Caenorhabditis elegans: one gene and its partner. The protein of the gene in region 2 interacts with the protein of the main gene of each other region in a pairwise test. Each region holds a gene or a part of one and is shown on either strand. Other genes may lie near its edges.

Evidence for each region. The genes of interacting proteins can lie anywhere in the genome.
Region 1: the proteins of F17E9.5 (region 2) and fard-1 interact in a two-hybrid assay, tested with the Caenorhabditis elegans proteins (one large-scale study listed by BioGRID).

What each region holds. Positions count from the first base shown.
Region 1 is NC_003284.9:2,931,530-2,938,255, reverse strand, and holds fard-1 (Fatty acyl-CoA reductase), read right to left. Parts: upstream 4,896-6,726; 5' UTR 4,883-4,895; coding exon 4,697-4,882; intron 4,652-4,696; coding exon 4,523-4,651; intron 4,478-4,522; coding exon 4,352-4,477; intron 4,308-4,351; coding exon 4,248-4,307; intron 4,191-4,247; coding exon 4,116-4,190; intron 2,959-4,115; coding exon 2,645-2,958; intron 2,589-2,644; coding exon 2,492-2,588; intron 1,945-2,491; coding exon 1,802-1,944; intron 1,754-1,801; coding exon 1,496-1,753; intron 1,444-1,495; coding exon 1,221-1,443; 3' UTR 514-1,220; downstream 1-513.
Region 2 is NC_003282.8:8,344,299-8,347,093, reverse strand, and holds F17E9.5 (DUF7087 domain-containing protein), read right to left. Parts: upstream 1,277-2,795; 5' UTR 1,212-1,276; coding exon 1,131-1,211; intron 998-1,130; coding exon 590-997; 3' UTR 548-589; downstream 1-547. Other genes in the region: F17E9.18 (Neuropeptide-Like Protein), read left to right, coding at 1-3, 54-203; lgc-5 (Neurotransmitter-gated ion-channel ligand-binding domain-containing protein), read right to left, coding at 2,609-2,761.

The DNA.
Region 1 (6,726 bases), on a different chromosome or scaffold from region 2:
AGAAAAAATTTGCCGAATTTGCCGTTTGCCGCGCTCGCCATGTTTGCCGAAAAAAAATTTGCCGAATTTGCCGAACTCGGCAAACTTCGAAATTTGCAGCACACATCAAAAGTTGGGCAATACTATTTTGACCAAAATTATTGATTATTTGCCCAAAAATTTTGTAAAATGACACAATGTGTGTTAAGAATTCAGTAGTATTGGTTCTCCAAAAACATCAAATTTTTCGGAGTTTGTTAAGCACGGCAAATTTGCCGAATTCGTCGAACTTAGTACATTTTCCTTTTCATAATTTCATCAAAAGATATGAATTCTAAAAATAACACGCATTTTAAAATATCACGCACTCACATCGAGCAAAAGTACTCTCATCTTTTCCTACTAACCATTGACGAGAAAACGAGAAGAGCCACCGATGTTGTTTTTTTTTTCTATTTGCGAATGTTTACTAGTCTCCACTGTGATTGTGGTTAGCCATGAAACAAAACTGATAGGAAAAATAAATATTTAAAGTGGAACTGACCATTATTTATTGTCAAACATAAAATGAATAACGAGAAAAAAACTGGTCTTTCGCTCATAACAAGTAGAAAACAAACTTGGAGGTGATTGAAGATGGAAGATTTGGTGAAAAAAATTGCAGTATTAAAAAAAAAGATATAAAGCGTTGTCGGAAATAGGCATGTGTAAATTTTAAAAGAGGAGTAACGGTTATGGGTTTTTTTTTTGAAACGTATATACCCAAAATGTGCTCCTTGAACAAATTCCGCAATGAGTTCAAAAATGTTTTAAATATTTTTTATCGTGCTTCAAAATTTCCATAAAAAATGTTTGGCTTCTATTCCGTGTCACATTTTTCGTTAATTCAAAAGTTTAATTTCAGGCCAAAATTAGAGATTTTCGCTAAATTTGAGTCAAAATTTTGAACCGCCATAAAAAATTTTTGGAAAAAATACGAGAAGTGTCATATATTTTATTTATTCGTTCAAAACACCCAGAACCGTTACTCCTCCTTTAAGCGGAGAATAACAATGAAAAAAAGTTATTGTTGATGAGAGAGTGCGTATCACAATCAACAGACACACTATCGACCTTGATATTTTGAAACAATATAACGATTGTATGTCTGATTTTTGATTCTGATCCTATCAATTTTTAAAGATAAAAAAATCACACAAAAAAAAAGAAAAATAAATTTGAATGACGTCATTGAAAAGATTCTAGCTTTTTTGAAGATACCGAGAATAATCCGACGTTTGTGTGTAATCTTTCAATGATTTCAGAGGAATATGCCGTCTGAAACTGACTTCAGTGTATGTATATGTTGCCAACATAGCACCGAACCATGTCAGATATTGAGTAGTCTTCTTCCATTTTCTTCCAATTGTAGAGATAAATCCTGCGTAAACTATTGCTGCAATTACTTGGCGTCGAATGCGCATTCTGAAATAATATTATTCAGCATAACTTTTCAATATTGAATAATATCACTGACTTCAAAAGATGTGCTCTCGATCTGTTAAGATTCTCCAGATTTTCTTTCAAAAGGAACTTCTTGATACCCATTACATAATCGAATAAATACGAGTTCCAATCCACTTGGCGAACATCAAAGTTGTACTCCTTTTGATCTGCGGGTGTCATTTTCTCAAAGAATTCTGGCAGTCCACGTGCATTGAAACTCCATCCGCGAGTCGTGAAAAAGTGTAGAGTTTCAATCATTTTCCACACTTTCGAATACAGCTTCACATTGCTGATAAGAAATTTATGTAGGTCTTGTTCTCCGTCGTTTATGACTTACTTTTTTCGCTTTCCTATAAGACGAGCAGAAATATCTGAGATGGCAGCAGGTATATGATGCTTGATATAATAGTTTATAAGGAATAGTGAACGTGATTTGTGGAAATATGTGGATGGAACTGCGAAGCATTGCTCCATGGGATACTGAAAATATATTTAAAAAAAACATTAGAGTACTATTTAAAAGGGGAGTAGAGTTTGTGGGTATTTAGTTAAAATTGACTAAAACTGGCCAAAATTGACCAAATTTCAAAATGAGATTTCTCAAAAAAAATTTTTGACAAATAGTTTTATGAAGGCTCAAAATGTTGGAAAAAAAAGACTAATTTTGCTAAATTCTAAAATTTCGTTAACTTTTCTACGTGGTAGTAGCTTGAATGCCGTTTAAAAAATGTTTGCCGTCTATTTTGGGCCTTTTTTTTTTTCAAAATCGTCCAAACCGTTAGTCCTCCTTTAATGCATATTTTGGTAGTTCATCTAATGAAAGAAATCTGCGAATTTTTATATTTTAGCAAAATTTGGTTCTATTTTGATATTATTATTATTTACCCGCCATAAAAATTTTTGGAAATTTTTTTGTGAAGTCTCATTATGAAGACGTTTTGAACCAGTTTAAGTCTATTTAAGCTAAATACTTATAACCAGTACTCCTCCTTTAATGGAGATATTATTATATAAAACTCTGACTAACCTTTTTGTAGAATTGCTCCAAAAATAAAACAATATGACCCCAATAGAGAGGGTTCAATTCACCAGATGAACAGTGGATCACAGGAATTTCTGTCGTGCTGAAACAAAAAACAAAATTTTAAACAATTCACAGTTTGTTTAAAACTATTCTCACTTGATCGATGTTCTATATGAAGCTGACGCAATTATCATGTTAGCCACAATATCAACGGGAATAATATCAGCTTTTGATTCACTGCTCCCACACATGTTTGTCAAAACACCTCTTCCTACAGCAGCAAAGATTCCAGTCGGCCCATTGATATTGTCAGTCCATCCTGGAAGCGGTCCTTGCCACATTGCTCCTACAATCGAAGGACGAATGATAATGACTGGAATATCCTTTGCTTCGGTTTCGATTGTGGACTCTGCTAAAGCTTTGGTCAGAGTGTAGGTGTTTGGACGGAGGCCAAGTATTTTAGGTGTAATCTGAAAATGTTAAATATCGGGTAACTTTGGTAATATCAATAACGCAAAAAGAATTATTTTCATTTTAAATAGGATTTCTGAATTTTGTTGTTGAATTTTTACACTTTCAACATTTTTCAATTAATCTCCTTTTTTTCTATGAATATCAAAATAAAGTAGGGGTGGCAATGAGTTTTTTTTGTTCCGCATCGATATTTCTGAAAATCTGGGAATTTATGGTATCAACCACATTACCTGTGATGTGACGGTACTTTCAAATAAATATGTCGACTCCAGGTATTCTAGCTCGGAGCCGCTTTTTTAGGCTTCCACTCGATCTTGGTTTTTTGAAACTTTATTTTTAGATTTATGCGCGGCTCTCGCTCGATTTAGTGTATAATGTGATTGTATAACAATAAAAATCGAAAAAAAAATTAGTTTTAAAAAAGTTAAAAAAATTGCTTTGTCTATTTTTTAATCTATTTTTCGAATACATTTTTCGACAAATCTGTCCTCTTTCCTTGTACCGTGTATTCTCTATTCTCTATTAGAGCGGCATGCCGCACTAATTTCCCGGCCCTTCGTGACGTGCGCTCTATTAGAGACTGCCGTTCTACTGGATACTGCCGCACTAATTTTCGATAACTAATTTTCATATTGAAGTTACTACTTTTGGGAGTAGTAACCTCAAAATTTCTTTATAAAACCTCATATTTTATGGAAAAATTCATGAAAATTGGGTAATTTTGCCTCACAAAGACACTAAAATTCAATATTTAAATGAAAATTTATAAATTCATTCAAGAATGAACAAAAATATCTTCGAAGAAATCGAATAATTGATGTGGCTCTTGCACCCAAAAAAAGGGGTGCCGCACTAATAGAGACTGCCGCTCTAATTTTCGAAGAGCCAGTTAGAGTGCCGCTCTAATAGATACGCCGTACTATTAGATACGCCGCTCTAATAGAGAATATACGGTATATTAAATTAAGCAAAATCCGCACATAAATTTCAAACAAAAGTTTAAAATACACGAATCTGGGTGAAGCCTAAAAAATGTGGCTCCGAGTTAGGATACCTGGAGTCGCCAAACTTTTTTTCAGAAAAATCGATATGCCACAAAAAGTCATACATTTTGACCAAGGTCTAATTGCCACCACCTAATATCAAAACTTACTTTAGTCAATGTTTCGTCATCCATCCACGAAAGAGCGTCCACAAGTTTTTGTGGAGCCATTGGTGACTTGTAAATCTGTAAATTTCCAGAAATTTAGTTGATATTCTACAATGTTCAATTTTTCACGCTCACTTTTTCCGTTGTTTCAAACCTGTCGCAGTTTGCATATGCAGTTGACACATGCACCAATACCTTAAAAATACAATTTTTCTGAGACACGTTGTTTTCTCTGTTACTTTGAGATCTTTGATTTGATGACAGAGATCAATGATTCGTTTGGTTCCAATGACATTCATGGTGACTGCTGCTCTTAGATGCTCGTCGAACTTGACAGTCGCCGCGCTATGGATCACTACGTTGACCTGAATATTAAAAAGTTGGAAAAATTGAGAATTGTACTCCCTCACATTGTCTCGGATGAGCATCACATCTTCAGGATCCATTCCTAGATTTTCCACCATCATATCTCCACCGATTGCTTTCAATTTGTCAAATGCTTCTGGTTTCTCTTGGCGAATGCGATTGAAAAGGGGATCCTAAAAACTATTAAATAAAATTCCAAATATAATCAAAATACTTACATGAAGAAGACCTGACAATCTTTCTTGCGGATTCTTCCCTTTTCTTGTTCTTATCATCAAATAGATGTTTTGAATGTCATCAATAGTCCATAACAACTTCTCAACAATCACCTTTCCCAAAAACCCAGTACCTCCCGTGAGCAGCACGGAGCTGCCTGCATAGACGTCTCTTACAGAAAAAGCCATGCGTTTTTGTTACCTAAAACTTGGGTTTTAAATAATAAAATTTGCCTTTCAAATTGAAGAAGGATCAACGGTTTCTGGATATTTTGAACCTATAGATTTGTAATGTGCTAAAGTGAACAAAATTTGTAATAAAATTGCTCAAAAAAAATTGTTTAATTTTTTAAATTTTTTAATGCGGATCTTTTGTAATTTTTGGTTACCTATCGGCTTAAAATCTACTTTATCCTACAACAAACAGGAGCCCAACAACCGAAATAAGCAATAAAAGACGATAATTCAAAAAAGTCATTTTCAAGCTGCTGCGGCACGGAAAAGTTGCCAAAACTGGAGATTTTAGCTGAAATTGAGCCTTTAATTTTTTTTGAAATTTTGAACCGCCATAAAAAATTTTTGAAAATTTTTTGAGAACTTTCATTATAAAATTCCTGTATTTCAGCATATCGTAGGACTATACCAAAATAACCACAGCCATTACACCTCCTTTAAAAATGACAGGATGTTATACACGTGACAGGATACAAGAATTTTTTTTAAAAATCTGTTATTAATTTGACAGTTCACAATACATGCAAAATATCTATTTGAAAAAAAAACTTGTGGAGATGGGCGAATAGATGAAGAGCCAACAAAAAAAGTAAAGAAGGGGTATCACTCGACTATCAGCCGTTTTATCGCTATCAATACGCACCAAGAAAAACGAGAATAAGAGCCTAATGCAGGAATTGATAGACAGCCATGTACAAAATTTACAAATCAGCGAAAGCGGATGGCGTATTATGTCTTTCAAGTGTCGCAACATTTGGGAAAATATGATATGCTTTAAAAAATATATTATAGGAAATAATACTGCAAAATAAGCTAGTAGGGCTAGACAACAATTGTTATCACTTGGGAAATGTTGATAAATATACCTAAATTGAAATTTCAAATTTTTTGAGCGCAAAATTCAATAATTGTGCAAAAACCTACACGAAAACGTGACAGTTCGATAAAAAAAAACGAAAGCGAGAAATCGACGGGTGAAGCTGACTTTGAAATATATTTTATTTTGGAAACAGCCAGACTTTGACCTAGTAAAACCTAAAACGCTGAAACAATTGCACGGTTGGAGTCTATTGTGCTCAGCGAGCCCTGTCAAGAAAAGAGAAGAGGCGTGATGCACTTGCGACCTACGTACATATACCAGCGGGGACAATGTCCACACACTGATAAATGCCAAGTTGAAATTATCAATGACTGATCACGCCATACCTCTTCCATTCCTTAAACACATTGGGAAACATGAAAAGGCGGTAATTTTCACACCACGGAAAAGCTATTGAAAAACAATTGCAAAAAAAAAGAGTGAAACTGATAAAAAATTTTCCCTGTACTTTGCAGTGGGGTGTTTGGAAAAATCATTAATAATTAATTGCTGTTAGACGCAAAGTTTAAATTTGATAGACTCATTCAAGAAAACTCGTGTTCAGGTGCCGAAGACAGCCACGCTTTTGACAGCCGTTTGATTTCCAATTACGAAAATACAATGAATACGGAAGAGCAAAGTTTCAAATGAAATCGAAATGAAATCTGTCAATGTTAAATTTTGAAAAAACGAATATGTTTAGTTATCTACCTTTTATGACTACGGGCGAGCTCATAAAGTAGCCGTACCCAAAAATAATATTTTTAAAAATTTCTAGTTTAATGATTATTTAATCAAACAGTTTGAATACCTGTGTATTAAATACTCCACAATTTTAAAATTACATTTAGTTTTTTTTTTTTTTGATTTTTCCAAATGGAATGTGACATAGATTTTTATTCTACAGAGGGGTTTTTCACAAGCCTAAAAATACAACACT
Region 2 (2,795 bases):
GCGGTAGGCTGATTTCAAACTTTCAAGCAAAAGAAACGTATAATACTTTACAGCAATTCATTCCAACTAATCAAATTCTACCATCACTGTTCAACCCAGCTAGAAGAGCTCCTCAGCCAAGTTCATTCAATTTCATCCCATCTGCAAATGCAAGACATACCATCTATCGTCCACCGACTCCACTTGGATGGGGAAGAAAATGAATGTTTCTCTTGTTGGAGTTGGAACTAATAATAAAGATTATTGAGCATTTAGAAAGTGTTTGAATTATTCCAGTTTGCGAGAATCCTTGAAATAACCCAGCGAAACGAACAGCAATCATACTAAAGTACTCCAATAACCCAGTATTTGCTCAAAAAGTTGATAGTTACGATAGTTTTTAAGTAATCACAGAAGCCTCTCTTCGGACTAACCACAACAAAATATTACTCTTACAACAAGATGCTCACTCTTCTGAAACTACAGTAGAAAAGAGCACTTAGTTTTTCCAGGTTTTTTGGCGACCGAGTCTAGCAGAATTTGCAGATTACATTCCTGATCAAAAAGAGCAAGTAAAAACTTTTATTTCAAAAACCCCCAAGTATTCTTTCTACTGTGCTGGTGGAGCTGCAACTGGATCCTGGGCTGGTGGTGCAGTGGCGGCTGGGTCTTGTGCTGGAGCTCCAGATTGTCCCTTCTTGAACTCATAAGCTTCAATTCCGAGTTGTCCAACAGCGGCGAGCACGTGGATGAGCACGAAAAGTGAGAAGAATGCATGCCCAGAAACACACAAGAAGACGAAGATACCAGCAAGAGCTGGGACAAGAACCAATGCGGCAGACTTTCCACGAACTTCATTGTCAGACGAGGTAAGAACCTTGTTGATCTCCTCGCGACCATCAATGTTGAGAGCAATGTTGTGCGATGAGACGGCAACTGCTCCACCGAGGAAGATGAAGTAGAATAGCTTGGCAAGGAAATTGCAATCGCCGAGGGAACCGAACAGAACCATCAGGAGCTGCAAATATTTCATGATGTTCTATACATTCTGGAAAACGGGCAAAAGACCAAGAGCCAGGACAAGTCTTTAGAGGCCAGCCCTTAAAAACCAGGACCAGTCCTCCGAGGACCACGAACGGCACAGAACGAACCTCAAATGAAGCACACACGATGACGGCACCACGAGCGTAGAGCACGTACTTATTGAACTCGTACGGTGGGATTTGATCCATTGCAGAGAAGTAGTCGAGTGAGTAGAGAATCGGTGATTCGAGCAGAGACTGATTTGAATTACACATTTTCCGATCTTTTATACGGACGGATCTAGGGCAGATTGACCGTGGAGATAAAGAAAGGTCGAGGTTGAAGCGGAGAAAAAACAACCTTTATAAAAAAGTTTCTGGATGTTTTTTGGAATTATTTTTGAAATAAAGTAAAACATCACGGTCATCGAAAAAGAAATTAAAGAATTTCTAGTTCATCCGTTTCATGTAATTAAACAAGCTTTTTTAGTCACTTGAGGGAAGCCTTGTTCAATTATGAATATACCGATAACCGCGTGTTTTTAGCCAGCTGAATGCTTTCTAGTTGGCCTGGAGAATATATATAGGCCAAATCCAATAACGTTTGCGGAAAAAAAACATTTGAGAAAACCAAAACCTAATTTACCCTAATTTATAAAACCATAATTTATTTTGAAGTTAGTTTGCTGCAGGTGCGATAGCTTTACCATCCCTCACTCTGACTGCTTGACTTTTTGCACACATTAGAAAAAAAGGGGGTTAGGGTAGCTTTACCAAGGCGGCAAAGACAAAAATTGACATACTTGGTAAGCACTGAGTGTCTCTGCGATGCTTATATCCAGCGAGATAGATAGAAACATTATACAAAATCAATAGAATAGTCTTGAACAATGTAGAAAACCTAATTTAAAAATGAATGAGACTGATTTCATAGCCACAATGACTGAAAATAGAAAGACTCTTCCATTTTCAAGCACTTGCAAGTTGCAGGTAAGCTTATGGTCTGTTGTCACGTGACACCTAAGTTTTAATTGCCAAAAATAAATTCACAAAGATTCATTTACTAGTTTAATGACAGTTTCGTAGACAGATAAAACCGATCCAGTTCACAAAGAACCTATTTTCAGAATTTAGATAATTTTCACTTTTTCGAATTTTTGAAAATTCCCCGAAATTTTTTTAAATTTTGCTTTTTTTATAATTCTTGCAGTAATAGTTATGTTTTGATCATTTTCATATTATAGTGAATTTTCAACTCAAACGAATCACTTTGAAACAAGTTATTGTCAAAAAACTAAAATTGGATAGAATTATGGCCGGCACTGTAGAAGGCCTAGGGACTCTTGAAAATTTGTCAACCCCGCAGAAAACAATACTCTAAAAAAGTCCAAACATTCCATGTTCTCGCGCAGGAAAGTTGTTAATATAAATTATTCTTCACTAAAACCGATCATTTGTTTTGAGGGTGCTTTAGAGACGTTTTAAATATTTTTTAATTTACTGTCAAACAAGTACCCAATTTTTGCCACTAGGACTATCTATCCCTATGAATTGATCAAATTTTTTAAACGGGTAAATATAAATTTATTGAAAGTTATTTTTGATTTTTATTTCCAATATACAATTGTTATTACAACATTGGCAACTTGAAACAGAATAAGACACATTAGATCAGTTTTATCCAGAATTTTGAGCCAGAGCAACTGATTTTCATTAATGCGAGACATTTCTTGCAGAGTGTCACGAACAAGAAACGCAGTCTAAAATATATCAATTAATGTTCAAATCATGGTG